3 linked regions of the Caenorhabditis elegans genome follow. The protein of the gene in region 2 interacts with the protein of the main gene of each other region in a pairwise test. Each region holds a gene or a part of one and is shown on either strand. Other genes may lie near its edges.

Region 1 (6,667 bases), on a different chromosome or scaffold from region 2:
TGCTCTTTTCCTAATTCTCAATGCAATTTTTCACAATTTATATTATATTCACAACCAAAACTATATTACTAATCGAAAATTGCAGACGCTGTCCGAACAGTTGTAGGAGTGGTGTCGGGCGACGTCAACGTCTCGAAACAGAACCAGGACTGCGAACGCGGAGAATTTTGTCTGCACTCTCTCCGAAGAGAGTGCAGAGAAAACCAGAAACGGGTAGTAGACCACCCAGTCGGTTAACTACGGTGGATTGGAAGAAGTGACCAGCAAGAAATTTCAATGTAAAAATAAGAGAGATTTCCATTTATTTCAATTGTAACTGTAATGGAGGTGGATCCGGGTTCAGATGATGTAGAAGCTGACAGAGAAACGAGAGCTCAGAAACTAAAATTAAAGTAAGTTAAATTTTTTAATGTTTTTTTTTGTTGAAATTGTTTTAAATTCTTTAATTCACATCCAGTCAAACTAAAATGATCAAAAACTAGGTTTTCAGAAGAAATGTCAAATTCCGTGCACAAATGAGAAGATTCGACGAGTACTGTGGAGTGACTAATTTAACAGTAGATGATCTCAATTGGCCTTTAATATCTGGAATTCCTTTACAAAGACAACGATTGACAGGAGCTACGTATTATGATGATAGTCTTCTCGATCAAAATCCTTGGGATGAATTTTCAATTGATCGATTTCTTGAAATTACTTCAATTCAATTAATAACAGCCGGTGCTGGATATGAAAGGAATGATGAAATTACTCGATTCGTTTTTCAAAGAACAATGAAGACAATTGTAACTTATTGCAATTTTATGTATGATTTGGCAAGGCGGAACGGGAAAGTGTGAGGCGAATCTGAAATTTTATAAAATAAAATTTTAATTTTCAGTCAAATAACTCGATTCGAGTTGCAAGATTTGATTCATCGCGATGAATTTCGGTTTTACATGTATTTTCGACAATTTTTAGTGAGTTTCCTTGTTTTATCATAAATTAAAACAAGCTCTACTTACCCGATTTTTTTTTCGATTTTTGAACCAAAAAAGGGATATCCGACTCGACACGACAATTTTTAGTTAAATAAAAACGGGTGTGTGCCTTTAATAAGTACTGTAATTTTAAACTTTCGTCGCTGCGGAATTTTCTTAGTTTTTCGGAAAATTGTTTTAATTAAAAAACTAAAATTACGCAATTACCAAAAAAAAACAGGGATTTTAAGAAATCAGGAAAACATGTAAAAACCGGTGAAAATTTAACAAAAACAAAATCTTGAAATTCCAGTACTCTTCAACGGCGCATTTCCGTTTGTATTTTACTTTTTTTAAAATCCTAATTCCAGCCCAATCCGGATCCGAATTGTACGGCCTTTTCCAATCACTACACGTCTCTTCTTCATACACTCTATTTCAATATTCCGGGAATGCCACAGTTTTGGAACAATTCCCAAATGTATAATTACGCTGCTACCCGTGGTCAACGCCTTGTTCAAAATATCGCCGCTTTTTATCCACCCGAATATTTTTGGAACGAAGATGAATCCAAGTATCATACTACGTTTGTGGTTCCACGTGGCACAGAGTTCTCAAAGTTTTATGCTCGAAGATTTCATGAAGCACTTGGAATGCCACCACTGGAAAATGAGATTATTACGGTTTTGGATTGGCTTGCGAAGCTCTGCATTTTGGAAGTAAGCATTTTAAAAATGTTATTTATGTACTCATATATTAATTTAAAGCTTTTAAGCGTTAAAAACTATTTTACATTTGTAGATTGTATATCACACAACGATTTGGTGCGACATAACTGGATTTGGAGGGCTTCCACGTATTGAGCACTATCGTTTAGCCATGGAGAATGTTGGTAGGAATTTATTGTTAAAATAATTTAAAAGTATATACATGACATGTTTTTCAAAATATAAAACACAATTTTTTTAAAGCGAAACTTTAAAAAATCATCAAAAGTCGAATAGCGTAAAGGGAATTTTTGTTTTCATAGTCGCAAATTTCTAAATTCTACAACAGAAAGACAAAAAATCGACATAAAAAATCCATCGTTTGAAAACATGCTTTTTCGATTTTGGCATTTTTTTGTATTGAATTCAAACCCGGATGTTAGCAAAAATTTTTAAAAAATCACGTTTTCGGTATTACTAAATTCTCCACATTTAAAAAGAGTCCATTCTGAAACTTTTTCGATTAAAAAATTTCTTTCACAACTATGTTTTGTTCTAATTTCAGAAGACATCATATTCGACTTGGCAATTGATGATTTCTCAATTTCCCGTCTACAGTTACAAATTTCGCCGTTTGAAATCTCTCGCTACTCACCTCTAGATGTATCTGGTTATTATGAAACAATTAAAAGAAAAAAAGATATTGAAGAATATCAAAATCGTTTCTATGAAGTTCATTATTCTGATGATGTTCGGATTATGAATGTTTATGCTACTGATTGCTCCAGGAAACGATGATATCAATTGTTATAATGATTTGCTTTTAATTTTAATATTATTTCATTTGAAAGTCTAACTCTCTATATTTTACCCAGATTTCCTATTTAATATCACCGATTTGCCTTCTATCTCACTAACGCTTCTTGTGTCATTCACTTTCGAATCCTCTGGTTTACATTTTGAAAAATGTCATAATGGTACACTGCTAAAAAAAGCTGGTTCCATATCACTTTAATTTGTTTTAAGATTTGTTTAATTTAAAATAAAGGTATAGATAATATCGATTAAGCTGCTTACAATTGGTTAGACGCTACGCAAGTGCGCTCTGGTAGACAAACAATAGCATCTGTTGAGTGCGCAGTTGGTTTACACTCATTCAAATGTGTACGGGTGTGGCATTCGAAACATTTCGAATGAAACACTAAGAGTTCCAGTTGCTTTTACGAGTTTTTGTGTAATTTTCAGTTGATTTAACGTTTATTGCTCATTGCTAGAAGCCGAACTACAAAAAACCCACTATTTGGCAATTAGTCTACTACGACTCAATTGGTAAAATATTTCGAAAGTTATATTTTTCCAATATAACCATCAATTTCATAATGTAGCATCTTTCCTTCAATTTTTAATATTTTTTTGTCATTCTGAATAAAAAAGTACAAAAGTCATGCTGAAAAGGATACATATCGATACAATTCCACATGAATATAATTTGAATTTCTATTCAACTGATATACATTACACATATTCGCGTGTGCTAGAAAACTCGTATTTTCCCATTCGATACATCATCTGCCAACTTTCTTAACAATCCCAAGATCGTCACCCTTTCCTCCACAGCACCAGTCCCGCCTTTTTAACAACGATCTGTTTTTAATGGATGCTCGATCTATATGCATTAATTCATTCTATCATTCATTTACCGAGATGGTCATAACATATTTCATTTATTTATGGTTTTTTTTGCTTTTCCAATGTATTATAGTTATATGAAATTCTCTGTAGTTCTAAAGTAAGTCGCATTTTACCAATCTTTTGTATATATTTTTAAAGCTTTGCTAAACTAAGAAAAATTATACAGGCTAGATTTTTCTAAACTTTATAATTTACAATCTTTAAATTTTGATGTCCAAGTTCCTCTTGATAAGAATCGAGCACTTTATAAAGAAACTACGAATTTAATAATCAATCTTCAACAACTCCCCCAAATTGGTAATTTCTGTGTTTTATTTTTTGATGTCACCTACCTATTCTAATTAAAATAATACTATCTCTGCCAATTTGATAAACGACCTTTCCCATCTTCTCCGAAGTTCCAAGTAGCCATCTCCAGATACTCCATCCACCTAGTCTATCGATTGAAAAGTCTTCACTTCCAAACGCTGCGTTTACCTATTTCCCCATTCTCAGAGAATATCCCACACAGAGTCAATCATTCATTCCGCCGACTTGGTCTCTTTTCCATTTCATTATTTTAATTTATGTACAACAATAGTCAATTGACTATATTAGTTCTCTTATTGCCATTTGCTCACCCTCTTTCAATGTTACATCTCAGCTTTCTACATTCATTGCCTTCAATCAATTATTTATGAATCAAATTTCAGAGAACTTCTATCAAAATGGCTCGTGCTATTGCTATCGATGCTCCACTTTCCGCTGGAATCAGAAGAACAAAGAAAAGTCCAATCAAAAGAGCATCAGTTGGTGGAGTTAAAAAGAGATTCTCCACTGGAACTGCTGGACCATCAAGAAGACCAACTGCGCAACCAAGACGCCAAAGTGGAGGAATCAGAACAGTTGACAGATCTATTCCAGCAAATGGTAAGTTATAAATGCCATTTTGCTCTTAAGTTATGGTTAACATTTCCAGAAAACCGTGAAGTACGTATCAACTTGTCAAACTTGGCCCACACCGTTCACTCCGGGGACCTTCGTCAACTCTTCGCTGAATTCAAAATTCGAAACGTCTCCGTGAACTTCAACGAGCACGGAAAACCAGTAGGAACCGGAGATGTGACTCTCCCAAAACGTCACGCTGATCGTCTCATCCAAAAGTTTGCCGGAGTCTCACTCGACGGAAAGGAGATCAAATTCGCTATCATTGATTCAGCAAATATTGCAAACCGTGTCAAGTTCCCAGAAGCTCCAAGAAGAGCTCCATCAAATGGAAGACCAGCTCAAAGAGCACCAAAAAGGCAGAATGTTAAATCAGGAAAACCAACAGGAGGGGCTGGAGCTCAAAAGAAATTGAAGGCCAAGAAGCCAAAGAGAGAAGCTCAACCAAAGAAGACACTCGAAGAGTTGGATGCGGAGCTCGATGTGTATATGTCAAAAGCCTAATAATTTAATTTAATCCAAATTTTACTTGTTTGTTCTCATGTTTTCATAACTTATAATTTTGTACCTAATAAAAACATCAAAAGCTAGAACACCCGTGTTTCGTGTATTTAAAAAGAAATCATATTGAACGGCGAACAAACGGTAAAGCTAAAATCTCCTCGTAAACAAAGTAATTTCATTATTATATTTGTTCAAAATTATTTTTAAAAAACATTAAAATGAATCAAACCAAAAAAGGAGGTGTCGATAGAAATATATTAGTTCCCATATCATCCCTTCGTCAGTCAAATGGAAATGCCCATTTCAATCGTTTTTAGGCGGTACGTGATCAAACACACACTGAAAAGAAGTGCCAATTAGGGATGCGAACGTTCATTTATTTATCTCTTTTGTCATTTGATGGTGCCCATAAAACTGTTTTCTTTCCGTTTCAAATGTGATTATTATGCTTCTTCTTCATTGCTTACTCTTGTTCTTTCATTTAAAAACTACAAATTTATAGTGAAATCATTCAAATTGTTTGCAAAAACAGAGCTCTGTCTCTCTATTTTTTCTTTGCAAATTTATTTTCATCATCCTGTTCCACTCTTTCTTCGTTTCCGCCGAGAAATCCACTTGACCCATAATCAATCATCAAAATACACTCGAGCGATCCTTTTTTTTGAGTTTTGATGAGATTTTGAACTTTCTTGAAATGGTTTTTATTTTTCTACTTTAGCATGTGTACTGTTCACATTAGATTTGGAGTAGCGACAGTGGGGAAATTTATAGCAAGAATATCAAAGAAAACACCTTTGGAATATTAAAAATACATTTTATTATAAGTCAAAAGTACGAACTATGAATACTCAATACTTTGAAATTTTTGAAAAACTAAAAAAAAAGACGTTTAAACGAAGTTTATTTTAAATTATTTTTAAAATAATTTTCCAGTGTAGATTAGAGTGTAAGGTAATGTAAGGGCGATCAGAAAACTCCAAATTTCAAAAATTTGTTAAGTTGCCAAAACTTTAAATCATAGTATTTTCAAATTGTTCATAGGGTTTTTGATTACGGTACTCTATCATTTCGGAGTGTATATTTTTTTAGTTCAAAAATATACTATTACAAGGAGAAAACATTACTCATATACTAAACGTTTGGTCTTTTCATTTTATACAATTACATCTTTCACAGTAGTTAAGCGTACTTTAAATTAATTAAAAACAATTGTTTACTCTATTAAAATGCTCTGAAACTCAGAAATTCTCCACAATTTCTTTGCCAGCTTTTACATCAACCTTAGAAATTATTCAGATTTTATTCATAAAGTTTCTAACGTGGATTAAGAAAGATGATATGGCCGTAACACTGTTGATAACTTGCTGAATGAGAATAATTGTTGTTTTTTGTACTTATATTCAGCTTCACCCATCTAAAAAATCACTGAAAACCTACTTCTCTCAGTTATTGTAAACCTTGTTGTATTAGTCAGAGAGATGGAGAAATAGAGTGATTGATGATAACAAAAAGCGAAAACGATTGATAACATTGTACATATTTACATACGTGATTACATCTTCAGAAAATTTCTTTGCTACTCAGAGACTTGGTAATAATTCCCGAGGAAATTTGTTTCTATTGCATATTATTCAGAAATAAAAATCCTGATGGTCGCGTACGGTTTGTGGTATTTAGGCTTCTCCCACAATTTATGTTTGTAATGATTTTACATATGTGTGGGAAATCATTGTTAAATCGTGACTTGATGCAAAAAAGTATGAATGTTTTTTTAAAAAGTTAATAGAAACTACAAACATTAGATTTGAAGCTTCATGTAATAGTCCTGTTAGACGAGCTTCAATATTTAATTTGTATTCCTTTTTAGTAACTTAAACTCCG
Region 2 (7,335 bases):
CTAAATTAATACTGTAACGATCATAAGGGCTACAGTAGTCATTTAAATGATTACTGTAGTTCTCGCTACGAGATATTTTGCGCGTCAGATATGTTGTACAATACGCATTCTCAGAGTTTAGTGTTCACGTAATAAGTAACGCCACAATCAGTTTTGTAGTTTTTCAGACTTCCGTCAAAAACTACCCGTTCATGCCTCAGTGCTTCAGAAAGCTCTTGAAAAATCATACCCTTTTTTTTGTTGTAGCATTCTTCAAATATTCAGTGTCAATAGCAATAGAGTTATTTAAATATGAAACATTTCAGAGATTTTTAATCAAAATGGTATTAACAAATAAGAATGAAGAAAATGAGAGACAACAGAAAAAGCCGTTTTAACAGGATCAGGAGACGTGGGGAGACCTACTTAATAACCTAACAATTAACTATTCTAAAACAGCATTCAAAATGTTTGAGGTTGTCCGGTGGCAATGATTGTATCCAGATCTTTGAGTTGCCGTTCGAATGCGTCAAGCTCTTTTTGTAATTGCCGTTTTTTGAGAACGCTGTAGTAATTTACACCTGAAAATACATACACACTGTAATTGTTAATCAGCAACTTAAAAAATCTTACCATTAAAAGAGAAATAAATCTTGAAAAGTTCAAAACCAGCTCCAGCAGTAAAGCCAACAAAGAACAATCCTTCCCATTTGGAAGAAAGTGAAGTGAGAGCACGTGAAAACGGACGAATCATCTGAAAAATCCAATTTTGGCTAGTTTAAAACTTCAAATCTCACTTTTTGAACGCAAATCCGGCCTTATCTGCCTCGATTAGTTCTCTCTCCAGAAGTTCTCGCTCTTCTTGACGGATTGGTCGCACAAACCTGGAATTTTATGGAAAGTTATATAAAATATAATGGATTTTAATCCTTTACTTGTAGTAGATTCCTGCGTTGATGATACAATATGAAGTACTGAAAACGAGGAAACCAAGGATGGATCGGACAATTACTGAAAAGAAAAAGAATTACTCAGGCAACTCAAATCTAATATGAAAATATTAAATAGCAATATTTTCGTAGTTGGGTGATATTTCAAGATAAAATCGCAATATTCCGAGACTTATTCGAAATCTTTTTAGATTGAGCAATCTTTTGAGAATATTTCGCAATATTTTGAGGTTGATTCGCAATATTTCTGAATCTGAAAATATTACGAAAAATTCGTAATATTTTGAGATGACATAGCAATCTTTTGAGATTGGTTCGCAATCTTTCTGAAATCTAAAAATATTACAAAAAAATGTGTAATATTCTAAGATTAATTTGCAATCTTTTTGCAGTCCATAAAGATTACAAAACACCATTTCCAAATTTCCATCGGCTTTACATGATCGTGATATATATACAACAATTATGATTACTGTTCCGTTCTAAATTCTCTTTTCTTCCAAATGATAAAAGACTTTTCAAAGTAAAAAACAGCTACATGAAAATCTATATAATGGAGCATCTCACTGTTAACGGATATTTGATTTTTCGTTGCATATTGTAGAAGGAGTTTTTGCAGAGAAAGCCATAGAATTCACAAATCTGTCCACTCATGTAATTTTTTCTAGATAATTGGCCGGTCATATTACAAATTCAGTCAAACAATCACGAAGATTGGTCGAATATATTAAAGTAGACTTACAACTATTCATTCACGCGTGATGCGTTTGAGATTTTCTGATTTCAATTGAAATCATAAAATATTGTCAACAGCAAGCATGTTCCCAGTATACTCATCATTTTAATCAAATTGTTAGTGAAAAAAAATATTGAAAAAATAAAATGTTTTTCTCTCTTTGACAAAAATTCGGAAAAATTGCACATCTAACTTTTTTAAAAGCATAACAAATAAATCGTTTTTCCACATTCGCTTTCAAAGAAAGTTATCCAATTTCGCTCTGACACTTAGAAAATTTGCGAAAAGTCACTGATTTCCCATCAAAGGTAACGAAAAGGACGTGCGCCCATCAACTATTTACTTAAGCAATAACTAAATCTAGATGCGACACGTACAGGATGGCTCAACAGGTAAGATAATGGTTTATAGACTCAACGACAAGCGACGGACAAGTTCAACTCCCCTCAATGGCAACAAAAGTTCTTCGAGTTATCACAAAACAGTTCTAGAATAGTCGATGAATGCATTTTTAATATTTAGAGACAAATTCGCAATATTTTGAGACAAAATCGCAATATTCTGAGACGAAATCTCAATCTTTGCAGATGAAATCTCAATCTTCGGAGACGAGTTCGCAGTCTTTTGAGACAAATTAGTAATATTTTGAGATAAAACGGAAGTCTTCCTAGAAATTTTCACACTTTCGCAATATTTTGAGATGAAATTGTAATCTTTTGAGACAAAATTGAAATCTATTCGAAATTTTTAGTAATCGTATATGGACGCACTATTTCTCGTTTTTACTACAAAAATATTGCTATTTAATATTTTCATATTAGATTTGAGTTGCCTGAGTAACTGGAAAATCAATCTTTCAAAGCATTACTCAGGCAACTCAAATCTAATATGAAAATATTAAATAGCAATATTTTTGTAGTAAAAACGAGAAATAGTGCGTCCATATACGATTACTAAAAATTTCGAATAGATTTCAATTTTGTCTCAAAAGATTACAATTTCATCTCAAAATATTGCGAAAGTGTGAAAATTTCTAGGAAGACTTCCGTTTTATCTCAAAATATTACTAATTTGTCTCAAAAGACTGCGAACTCGTCTCCGAAGATTGAGATTTCATCTGCAAAGATTGAGATTTCGTCTCAGAATATTGCGATTTTGTCTCAAAATATTGCGAATTTGTCTCTAAATATTAAAAATGCATTCATCGACTATTCTAGAACTGTTTTGTGATAACTCGAAGAACTTTTGTTGCCATTGAGGGGAGTTGAACTTGTCCGTCGCTTGTCGTTGAGTCTATAAACCATTATCTTACCTGTTGAGCCATCCTGTACGTGTCGCATCTAGATTTAGTTATTGCTTAAGTAAATAGTTGATGGGCGCACGTCCTTTTCGTTACCTTTGATGGGAAATCAGTGACTTTTCGCAAATTTTCTAAGTGTCAGAGCGAAATTGGATAACTTTCTTTGAAAGCGAATGTGGAAAAACGATTTATTTGTTATGCTTTTAAAAAAGTTAGATGTGCAATTTTTCCGAATTTTTGTCAAAGAGAGAAAAACATTTTATTTTTTCAATATTTTTTTTCACTAACAATTTGATTAAAATGATGAGTATACTGGGAACATGCTTGCTGTTGACAATATTTTATGATTTCAATTGAAATCAGAAAATCTCAAACGCATCACGCGTGAATGAATAGTTGTAAGTCTACTTTAATATATTCGACCAATCTTCGTGATTGTTTGACTGAATTTGTAATATGACCGGCCAATTATCTAGAAAAAATTACATGAGTGGACAGATTTGTGAATTCTATGGCTTTCTCTGCAAAAACTCCTTCTACAATATGCAACGAAAAATCAAATATCCGTTAACAGTGAGATGCTCCATTATATAGATTTTCATGTAGCTGTTTTTTACTTTGAAAAGTCTTTTATCATTTGGAAGAAAAGAGAATTTAGAACGGAACAGTAATCATAATTGTTGTATATATATCACGATCATGTGAAGCCGATGGAAATTTGGAAATGGTGTTTCGTAATCTTTATGGACTGCAAAAAGATTGCAAATTAATCTTAGAATATTACACATTTTTTTGTAATATTTTTAGATTTCAGAAAGATTGCGAACCAATCTCAAAAGATTGCTATGTCATCTCAAAATATTACGAATTTTTCGTAATATTTTCAGATTCAGAAATATTGCGAATCAACCTCAAAATATTGCGAAATATTCTCAAAAGATTGCTCAATCTAAAAAGATTTCGAATAAGTCTCGGAATATTGCGATTTTATCTTGAAATATCACCCAACTACGAAAATATTGCTATTTAATATTTTCATATTAGATTTGAGTTGCCTGAGTACTACAACTTGGAAAACATATTCGTCATGTTTCGATTAAATAAATCGTTGTCTAAATCATGTTCTTACCCTTATGAGCGATGTCAAGTCGACGATTTGTGAAGATTCTTCGGTAAAGCGGTCGACTGTCTTCTCTCCTTCGTGCCGCGAACTGAACTCGCGACCAAAACATTCACTGCAAAAATAAAAAAATAAAAAAATTAATTTCAAAGTTAAAAAAATGAACTGTAAAATAAGGAAAACACTTTAAAGATCACTTTGAAAAATATATTTTATTAAAATAAATAAATTTTATTGAAGCAATCGTTATCCGAGAGGAGTACACAGCAAATCGCACAGTTGAAACAAGTGTTACCGTACCACCGGTCTCGTTGCCTTTGATGAGAAATTACCGCAAAACTTGAAAATTGAACGTTTTTTTCTTTTCGTTTCTTTAAACGAGATCCGCTATTATTTTTGTTTCAAATTATATTATTTATAGATGGATTTAACCAAACTAACGTTTGAAAGCGTTTTCGGTGGATCAGATGTTCCTATGAAGCCTTCCCGATCGGAGGATAACAAAACGCCAAGAAACAGAACAGATTTGGAGATGTTTCTGAAGAAAACTCCCCTCATGGTACTAGAAGAGGCTGCTAAGGCTGTCTATCAAAAGACGCCAACTTGGGGCACTGTCGAACTTCCTGAAGGCTTCGAGATGACGTTGATTCTGAATGAAATTACTGTAAAAGGCCAGGCAACAAGCAAGAAAGCTGCGAGACAAAAGGCTGCTGTTGAATATTTACGCAAGGTTGTGGAGAAAGGAAAGCACGAAATCTTTTTCATTCCTGGAACAACCAAAGAAGAAGCTCTTTCGAATATGTAATGCTTTCAAGTTTATCAAATTGAATTATATTTCAATTGTTTTCAGTGATCAAATATCGGATAAGGCTGAGGAATTGAAACGATCAACTTCAGATGCTGTTCAGGATAACGATAACGATGATTCGATTCCTACAAGTGCTGAATTTCCACCTGGTATTTCGCCAACCGAGAATTGGGTCGGAAAGTTGCAGGAAAAATCTCAAAAAAGCAAGCTGCAAGCCCCAATCTATGAAGATTCCAAGAATGAGAGAACCGAGCGTTTCTTGGTTATATGCACGGTAGAACTGCTAATTAATAACTCGAAAATAATAAAAAATTTCAGATGTGCAATCAAAAAACCAGAGGAATCAGAAGTAAGAAGAAGGACGCAAAGAATCTTGCAGCATGGTTGATGTGGAAAGCGTTGGAAGACGGTATCGAATCTCTGGAATCATATGATATGGGTATGCCTCCAAATAATTGTAGTTAATATTTAATTTTACTGCTTTCAGTTGATGTGATTGAAAATTTGGAAGAAGCTGAACATTTACTCGAAATTCAGGATCAAGCATCCAAGATTAAAGACAAGCATTCCGCACTGATTGATATACTCTCGGACAAGAAAAGATTTTCAGACTACAGCATGGATTTCAACGTATTATCAGTGAGCACAATGGGAATACATCAGGTGCTATTGGAAATCTCGTTCCGGCGTCTAGTTTCTCCAGACCCCGACGATTTGGAAATGGGAGCAGAACACACCCAGACTGAAGAAATTATGAAGGCTACTGCCGAGAAGGAAAAGCTACGGAAGAAGAATATGCCAGATTCCGGGCCGCTAGTGTTTGCTGGACATGGTTCATCGGCGGAAGAGGCTAAACAGTGTGCTTGTAAATCGGCGATTATCCATTTCAACACCTATGATTTCACGGATTGAAAATATTATTGCGTATTCCTGAAAAATGAAGCGTCTGAATGATTATATCCTTTTTAAATATTTTTTTGAATAATGCCATTCAGAGTTGAAACTACTCGAAATTATATTTTTGTCGTTCTTTGTGTTTTCTCTCCCTCCATTACTTTTCCTCGTGTCAATTCTACTGTGATTGTTCTTTGTGTGCCTGCCGCGTGGTAAGATTGTGTGCGAAACGTCACAGTTTTGTGCGTTATGGTTTCTATTTCTATGAAGACAATGTGCTCTCACTCCATCAACGGGCGGCTGTGTTTTATCATTACCTCCATCACTTATAGAAACAGTAAATACCAATGATGTTCTTTGTCCGTTTTCTCCCCAACGTGGTTCCATCAATCATCAATAGAATTCTATAGAAGATGCGTAATCTCTATGCCTCTGACCTCTACAAAACTCTTTTCCACACTCATTCTCTGCAGTGCACGAGAGCGAGATTTAGAGAAGAAAAGAAAAAAGTGTGCGGCCTGCGCGCCGCCCGTCCTCATTTTTGAACGAGTGTGGGTCGCGGTCGCAAATTGTTTCACCTTCACAGCGTAGTTAAAATGTTTCAATAAAATTTATCATCATTTTCAAGTTCTCAAATGATAAATCTCATCTGTTTTTTTTAATTGCGTGACCCGCCACATTGATATGACGATGCAAGTTTTCCAATTTTAAATTTTCGTGATTTCCAGGTTTAATCCGACCAGAAAATGTCGCTCTCTGGAATGGCTATTCGCAGACTTATCACCAAGGGAGTCATCCCTGTGTGTCAAGTCGCTCCACTTTCAACATCTGCTGAAGGATCCACCAATTTGAAGGAGGTTCTTTCCAAGAAGATCCCAGCCCACAACGCTAAAGTGAAGTCATTCCGCACAGAGCACGGTAGCACCGTCGTTCAAAATGTGAACATTGACATGGTAAGCAACTACTAGGAAGTTTAAATTCATAGTCTCTTTTTCAAGATCTACGGAGGCATGAGAAGCATGAAGGGAATGGTCACCGAAACCTCAGTTCTTGACCCAGAGGAGGGAATCAGATTCCGTGGATACTCTATCCCAGAATGCCAAAAGCTTCTTCCAAAAGCAAAGGGAGGAGAAGAGCCGCTTCCAGAAGCCATTTGGTGGCTTTTGTGTACAGGAGATGTTCCATCCGAGGCCCAGACTGCCGCTATCACAAAAGAATGGAACGCCCGTGCCGATCTTCCAACCCACGTTGTCCGAATGCTCGACAACTTCCCAGATAACCTCCATCCAATGGCTCAATTCATCGCCGCTATCGCTGCTTTGAACAATGAAAGCAAATTCGCCGGAGCTTATGCTCGTGGAGTCGCCAAGGCCTCCTACTGGGAGTACGCTTATGAGGTAAACATCAAAAAACAACAGCTGTCTCTTTGAACGGATGACTGACATAAACAGTTTTCAGGACTCAATGGATCTTCTCGCTAAATTGCCAACTGTTGCCGCTATCATCTATCGCAACCTGTACCGTGATGGATCTGCAGTCAGTGTCATC
Region 3 (7,548 bases), on a different chromosome or scaffold from region 2:
GAGAGTGAGCAAGAAATATTCAATTCCAAAAATAACAAGAGTTGTGACACCAAAAGAATCTGAAAATATTTGGATCTTAAATGTTTTTGAAAGATCAAACTTACTTATCGGACTATGAAACATACTCTTCACACTTTCTTCAGGATTTTGAAAAAATAAAGAAGCTACTGCAGAATATTCTCCTTTTTTGCACCACATTTGATTGATTTGTGTTGATGTTGCTGTAGGATTCGCTCCTATCGGCTGACAATCGTCAATTGCGAATATTGTGAGGAAAGCAAGAAATCCTGATACCGCGGCAACAAGAAGACATTCGAACAAACGACCCAGTTTGCTGCTCACATATTTTTTACGGAACTCGGTGAGTTTTGTATTTAAATAATTGAATAAAGCTCCAAGACAGCCTCCAATTATTCCAATGAGAAGAAACAAAGGAATTTCCCAAATATTATAATCCTTATTTTCGAAAACTCCGAAATTCGCGAGACCTGTCCATGAGAGCCATCCACTACGTCCATTGAACCAACTGAGAATCCAATTTACAGTGAATGAAGAGATCATTGCAGAGAAAAACATTCTCCATGTCAAAGCTTGATTCCAAAAGCTTGCTCCTTCTTCTAAAGAGAATAGAACTCCTCCGATTGGTGCTCCGAAAGCAGCAGCAACTCCAGCAGCAGCACCAGCAGAAACGAAATCTCTTTTTTCTCGATCATTTCTAAACTCGCGGAAAAGTCCGAAATCGATTCCAAGGGAATAACTTTTTCCCTGTGATATCCCAGCTCCTACAGCAGCTCCAGAATGGATCATAGGACCTTCTTTTCCAGCACAAAGACCACCGCCAACCGAACATGCAACTCCAACTGCTTTTGAAACGAGCGTTTTGAGACGAACAACCTGGAAAAAACGAAAGTTTCAGAAATTTTTGAGCTGGAAATGACACCTCAGGAATCGCAATTCCGTTAAGATAACACTTTATTTGAGGAATTCCAGAACCTCCAGCAATCGGAGCTACATAAATCACAAGGATTGCAGCTATAGTTACGAGAACACAATTATATCCTATCCAAGCTATCATTACGGTCCACATACACCCTGCAGTCGTTCCACGTTGCTCTTCGCCACACTTTGAGAGCACTGAATGTTTCGTTTTCAATAGATTAGTTAGATAAGTATAACTGACAATATTTGAGAATCCAGTTAAATTTGATATCTTTACTGTAGTGTACCATAATATCAATAAATGCAGCGACGAGTCCAGTGAAAACTCCAATCAAAAAGCATACAAACCAACGATTTCGAGAAATTCGCCAAAGAGTTAACTGAAAAGTGACATTGTTACTGTATCTATGAAATCTCAAAACCTGGTGAGATGGTTTCTTTTCAGCATCTCTATAGAGTCGATTCTCAGATATTTCATAGTTCAGACTTTCGTATCTAGCAGACAATGCTTCATGGCTATCCGTTCGACCAACATCATCCAATTGCCTTGAGAATAACAGCTCTTCCTCCTGAAATAACTTGATTTTCAGAAAAAATTGCTGGTTTTTGCCCGCACTAGTCGTCTTCTTTGCCGAGCAACGTGTTCTAGATTCGAGTTTGACATGACTCGTTCTAGCCCCGACACAGGATCTTCATTTGGATCCAGACTGAAAAATATTATTTCCGAGAAGTCAAGTGATATTTAGTCTCTTACCTATTAGAACTTGTTCGCACCCTGTTACGGGATGTCATCTGAAATGTTGAAATAAATCCAACTGAACTTATTGTAGACATAAGAGAAGTAACTAATTTCGATAGACACGCAACATGTTTATTGTTGGATGTGAATAGAATGAGTATGGCGGAGTATTTTATTAAACATGGTGTTTATGGAAGAAGGAATTATAAATTTATAAAATGAAGCAAGGTGTGTAGACAACTACGCAGCTTCTGAGTATCCTTGATTGTGTACGAGTTGATGAAATTAGAAGGCACGGAATCCACGACCACGAGAGTTGACAACCTGATCAGTGACGTATTGGACTGGACGATATTGAACTGGCTGAACCTGAAAAACCAATATATTGGTCACCACAGATTCCTAAGATTTATGTTTCATAATATTAATCCAATTGGTGGCTAGTATTGTAAAACTCAATCATAATCTTTAATTCAATTCTAGCAAATAAAAGTTTGAATACTCACTTGACGAACAACATTGTTTCTCTGAACAGGTGGTCTTGCATTCACATATCTGACGCTTCTCACAACTTGCTGTTGTTGTGGCTGCTGCTGTCTCTGGAAGCGCGGGGGTTGTTGCTGGAAACGAGGTTGCTGTTGCTGGAAGCGTTGTGGCTGGCGTTGGAAACGTTGCTGAGCCACTGGAGTCTGGATTACTCTTTGCACGACCTGCTCATACTGAAAACGAACAATATAATTCTGACACTGGATACTGAATAATAATGAATTTTTACCTGTGGTCTTTGAACTTGAGCGCGTCTTGGAACTTGTTGAACGACTTGACGACGAATGACTGTTGGACGATTATTATTGTTGTTGTTTGTTGGACGGAATCTTCTCGATTGCTGTGATTGAATAATCACATTGCGTCTCTGCTGTGGACGGTTCTGACGAACTTGTTGTTGCGGTGCTCTACGAATCACTTGAGATTGCACAGGAGCAGTGATGATTTGGCGAACAACTTTGACTGGAGCTTGACGAACATGCTGTACGATAGTACGAACAGGAGCCGTTATTGGTCTCTGTTGGATGATTGTTCTCACAGGTTGAATCACTTGGGCAGCAGTGACATTTCGTTTCAATGCAAAATTTCGTCTGGCGGCAAGAGTTGAAGCAGCAACACCCTGAAATCATTTACCTTACCTCCGTGAAAGATTGGAAGAACTCTCGACACGCTGAAGAAGCTGAGGAGAAGTTGCTGTCTGTCTCTCCGGAAGGAACTTCACACAAATTGAGACCATCTGTTCTGATTTTTTGGCAGAAGCCTGGCTTTCTATCAGGTTTTCAATAGTGGATGATCGTATTTCCAACTATTCATCGCGGTTTCAAAAAACACGAAGAACGTCTAGGTTCTATCGCGACACGAGAGGAATAAATCAAACTCTCGACCTGATTTTTAGCCTTTTACTACAACGCTTAATGCGTGTGGTATCCAGATTTCACTTCAAGAATCCATTTTTCAAAGCTCGATATTCAACTATAGAACAAAATCTGGTAAAAACGTACTCCACGCTTACGAACGACTGGAACAGTCGTGATATTGGTTCTTTTGCGAAGGGCATTCTGTAATGTGATGGTTTATTAGAATGAATTATATAAACAAGATTTACCTTGACGAGCTTATTAACCAGCTTCTTGGTGGCAACAGCGCTCAATCCTGCAGCCGCAGCAGGTTTTCCACGGGCACCGAAAACGCGTTTTTGACCTCCAGCTGCACGACGAGCAGCAATTGCTTTCGATTTCTTCAAAACCTTGTTCGCCAAAACAACTTGAGCACTCTTTCTTGGTGGGACTCTGCGGTTGTTTCTTCCGGCATTTCCTGGGCGAGTCTATAAAAATTATTTATTCTTAAAAGTTGCTTATTTTATTTTAAAACTCACGGGTTTGTTTCCAGCTTTGTTGCTAGTAGATGCTCCTGCTGGTGCAGATACTCGCTCGGACTTCACTTTTTTCTGGCCATGCTTGATGATTTCATCCAGAGACATGTTGATTTTTTCAGCCATTTCGATGAACGATATGAAGAATGCGGATAAAACTGAAAATAAACTGTTTTTAGAAAGAAAAGAACAGACAATGAAAAATATAAGACGATATGAGTGTAACAAGATGGTGAATAGAATGAACGAAAATGTGAGAGAGAGAGTGAGGGGGAAAGAGAGTGAGAGAAGAAGAGCAGATGGGAAAGTCGCGTGGCAGAGTACGAACGGCAATTGCGGTTGCGGAGCGGTTATCGATTGATGACTCACAGCGTAGAAGAGCAATTATAACAAAACCAAATTATTCAGTGTTTGGCCTATACGTTGAAAAAAACAAATTCCCGTTTTAAATGCTGTTTCTTTTTTGAAAATAATAAAACTGATGATCGGTGAGCAAACAGATATTACTGCATAGCAGCAGAACCGACCGGTCTGAGTGTGCACTAGACAGCTGTTAATGTTTGCACTGATGTAAAAAAAATTAAAAAAAAAATCGATTTCGGTGGGCAAGGTGGAACATTCAAGTGGGTTTCATAGTGAGCAACGAGAGAATACATAGTTCGTATTGGGGAATTTCATAAATTTAAGGAAAAAACGGATTTTAATTCAATAAATGTCTGAAAAACAGTATTTATAAATATATTTATTCAGCAAAGAAAATCGTTTTTAAAATATCGGTACTTGTTTTTAAATCACGAGACTTCTTGGACGCAAACACCAGAAACGACGGCACATTGCAGACAGTATGCTTGAAGATTTCCTCTACAGTATCCGAGTACTGTAGAGTATATCTTGGTGTCAATTCGCCCATAAAACTGCCAACACACAATACCAAAAGAGGCTAATGACAGAAATTATGAAAACAATGAAAACGTTTGTGAATAAGGATGTGCACTTCTCGACGATCTGTGCTTTTCTGGCAATTTCAGAGTATTTCTCCCGAGAGAAGGCTGCCAATGTGAACGATGATGGGAAAATGAAGCATAACAATAGTTTTATGTGTGCACGTATTTCTCGAATCCATCCCAGGCTGCCATGGACGGAACTCGTGAGCTGTAACAAAAATTATCAAGTAACATGAAATCTCGCTATAGTAAAAGTATTATGTTTCAGAACTGTGTATTTATGTTTTCGTAGAATTTTGACACTTATCAATATAGAATCAAGAATCTTACTTACAAGATGAGCACCCGAAGAAATATAAAATGTAGAAATCTAACCGTTAAATTGACATCCCATTCCATTTGATTAATGATATTCGTCTCATTTGTTCTAACTTTTGAATACTCTTTGATAACATCTTCCAATTCATCTTCCTCATATTGATCCATAATTTCCTGCAACACAAGGCAATCCTCAAATCCACAATTGACACCTTGACCATTGAATGGAACCATTGCATGTGCTGCATCGCCCATCAATACCAATTTGTCGAAGAAGACGTGCTGTGAGCATTGAACACTTATAATTGCCTGCGGTTTGTTTCTGGCAATTGTGTTTCTGATGTGATCTCTAGAATAATATTCGTTCGAAAACAACAAGGAAAAATGAAGCCACTCACTCTCCAAGAATCTTGAAGATTTCATAAAAATTGTTCTTAAAAAACAAAACAGATTCTACGGGACCAACCAAATTAGACTCGAACTCTGAGAACGTGGCGAACATCGAAACTGAAAATTTTGACTTTAGATAGATATAATTCCAATATAAGTCTTACCAGTCAATGACTGATCTTTATTTACAATGGCAACAAGGATAATACCTCTTCTTCTCCAGGAATAATGTGTTCCCAATTTTAGATCACATTGTTGTGTAGAATTTACACTCAGATCAATATAACCGAATTCCGAATACTTTTGACTGAAATTGAAACCTGGAGCCTTGAGAAGGCTTCTTCTAATTGAAGAGTGTGCTCCATCACAAGCCAGAAACAGATCACCATCTACAGTACTCAAATTATCCGAATTCTGTACAATCAGAGATTCACTTTTCAAGTCAAATTTGGTTGCTTTACAATTGAAATGAAATCTGTAATTGTAAAATCTGTTTGCTTAATTAATTGTGATGTTGAACTCACTTAACATTATTATATTTTTCCGCTTCGTTGATCAATATTTGGCTCAGTTCTTGACGATTTATTGTGAGAATGAACTAAAATAGTTTAAATTAATTGTTTTCGATAAAAAATTCTCTATTAGCTCATTGACACTGTGCATTACATTTTGACACCTCATATTTCGGTTAATTTTCAGATATTACAAAATAAAAACGACGAAAATTCATAAATATAAGTTAAGCAATGATGTGTACTCTTGAACTTCTACTTACATCGTCATCATTGAGAACAGGTAGTCTCTTCAGTTTTCCTTTTGTGTCCCCAAAATGAGCAATTTGATCTCGAATTGGCACACCAATATGAATAACTTTTTCCTTCAGACCAATTCTCTTCATTGTACTCATTGCACGAACGCCTAATGCCAAATTAATACTTTTTCCATTTTCCATATGGTTTCCACGTGGATCAAAACGCGACTCGTAGACATCCACAATCCATCCCTTCTGTCCAAAAAAACACGCATTCGCAGATCCAACAAGACCTCCACCAGCTATCACAACTGACGGCATTGTTCAGAAATGAATTATTTAGGAAGAAAAACAAGTAAATTAAATAAATCTTCAGCGTGTCAAATACGTGATTGAATTGTTTTACTTTCTGTAGTCCTTGGTCGACCCCCCAAATATACCATTCTAGTTGTGACGGGGGTTCCGCTCAGGGGTGTGCGGCAAACTTGCCGAATTTGCCGAATTTGCCGAGCACGGCAAATTTCAAAAAAGTAGATTTGCCGAATTGGCCGAGCTCGGCAAATTTCGAAATTTGCCGCACACGTCAAAAATTTTACAGTACAATTTTGATTGATTTTTTCGCCAAAAATTTAGTAAAATGACACAAAATTGAGTTAGTTTTATGCTCAACTAGACATACTACACGGAACTAATTCAGAAACCAGATGTGTGTTACGAATTCGGTAGTTTTGGTGTTCCAAAAAACATCAAAAATTATCAAAATTTTCCGAGTTTGTTAAGCACGGCAAATTTGCCGAATTTGCCGTGCTCGGCAAATATTGAAAAAAGAGAGATGCCGAATTTGCCGAGCTCGGCAAATTTTGAGATTTGCCGCACACCCCTGGTTCCGCTATTGCCACTATGGGACTAGAATAACTCTCATTTACCATCACCTTTTACACAGCGACGGGGAGGCCAAAAGAGCAAGTGGGAAGAATGTAGGTCACAATATAACGACAGACAGGCCGCATAGATGAAACTATAGATAAACAATCATCTGTGCATAGAACCAAACAGCAGTAATGATAATGTAAAGTCGGGAAAAAACTCTTGTAAAAATTTATCATCAGATTTTTTTGAACTTTCTAAAAAACACGCATCATTAAACAATAAAAGCTATAAACCAAGTTTTCCTCTATTCACATAAATACCAGCAGCAGCCCCAATCAAAGCTAATGTAGATGTAGTTGTCATTATTCTTGACAGAATCTTATCTTGCCTTTTTCTTCTTTCAATTACTTCCGAGTATGGAATTCGTGAGAAAGTAACCATAGAGTACAATGGAATCCAGCTTTTTGGAAATATTGAGTTCATGATTGTATCAAACTTTTTACGAAGTTTGTAGGAGCTTTTATTCACAAGATCCTTGAGTTCTTCGTAGTTGTACATTGCAAGATCATTAATGGAATGAGCATCGTTGACTCGACCGTCTGAGTAGACTTTGACTGCTTTGGCTAAAAGTTGAATTACAATTCGCAATTGAATGTTTGTGACTTACCAATATCATTTC

Evidence for each region.
Region 1: the proteins of rde-4 (region 2) and aly-1 interact in a two-hybrid assay, tested with the Caenorhabditis elegans proteins (2 studies listed by BioGRID).
Region 3: the proteins of rde-4 (region 2) and pqn-53 interact in a two-hybrid assay, tested with the Caenorhabditis elegans proteins (one study listed by BioGRID).

What each region holds. Positions count from the first base shown.
Region 1 is NC_003282.8:9,104,881-9,111,547, forward strand, and holds aly-1 (Chromatin target of PRMT1 protein C-terminal domain-containing protein), read left to right. Parts: upstream 1-4,050; 5' UTR 4,051-4,065; coding exon 4,066-4,267; intron 4,268-4,316; coding exon 4,317-4,786; 3' UTR 4,787-4,873; downstream 4,874-6,667. Other genes in the region: Sex-determination protein fem-3, read left to right, coding at 322-392, 491-835, 881-959, 1,331-1,678, 1,761-1,851, 2,232-2,464.
Region 2 is NC_003281.10:10,215,816-10,223,150, reverse strand, and holds rde-4 (DRBM domain-containing protein), read left to right. Parts: upstream 1-4,504; 5' UTR 4,505-4,506; coding exon 4,507-4,886; intron 4,887-4,935; coding exon 4,936-5,167; intron 5,168-5,211; coding exon 5,212-5,332; intron 5,333-5,380; coding exon 5,381-5,805; 3' UTR 5,806-5,849; downstream 5,850-7,335. Other genes in the region: Y70G10A.4 (ATP synthase subunit e, mitochondrial), read right to left, coding at 442-560, 613-733; cox-14 (Cytochrome c oxidase assembly factor 3), read right to left, coding at 730-733, 777-863, 915-990, 4,095-4,197; cts-1 (putative citrate synthase, mitochondrial), read left to right, coding at 6,534-6,740, 6,786-7,184, 7,246-7,335.
Region 3 is NC_003283.11:12,061,638-12,069,185, forward strand, and holds pqn-53 (Prion-like-(Q/N-rich)-domain-bearing protein), read right to left. Parts: upstream 3,755-7,548; 5' UTR 3,723-3,754; coding exon 3,600-3,722; intron 3,549-3,599; coding exon 3,330-3,548; intron 3,283-3,329; coding exon 3,226-3,282; exon of another isoform or gene 2,844-3,225; coding exon 2,454-2,843; intron 2,398-2,453; coding exon 2,185-2,397; intron 2,048-2,184; coding exon 1,964-2,047; 3' UTR 1,795-1,963; downstream 1-1,794. Other genes in the region: clh-6 (Chloride channel protein), read right to left, coding at 1-59, 105-894, 941-1,134, 1,181-1,319, 1,362-1,508, 1,556-1,646, 1,694-1,731; kmo-2 (FAD-binding domain-containing protein), read right to left, coding at 4,494-4,748, 4,916-5,207, 5,257-5,365, 5,413-5,723, 5,773-5,846, 6,024-6,320; kmo-1 (Kynurenine 3-monooxygenase), read right to left, coding at 7,155-7,492, 7,537-7,548.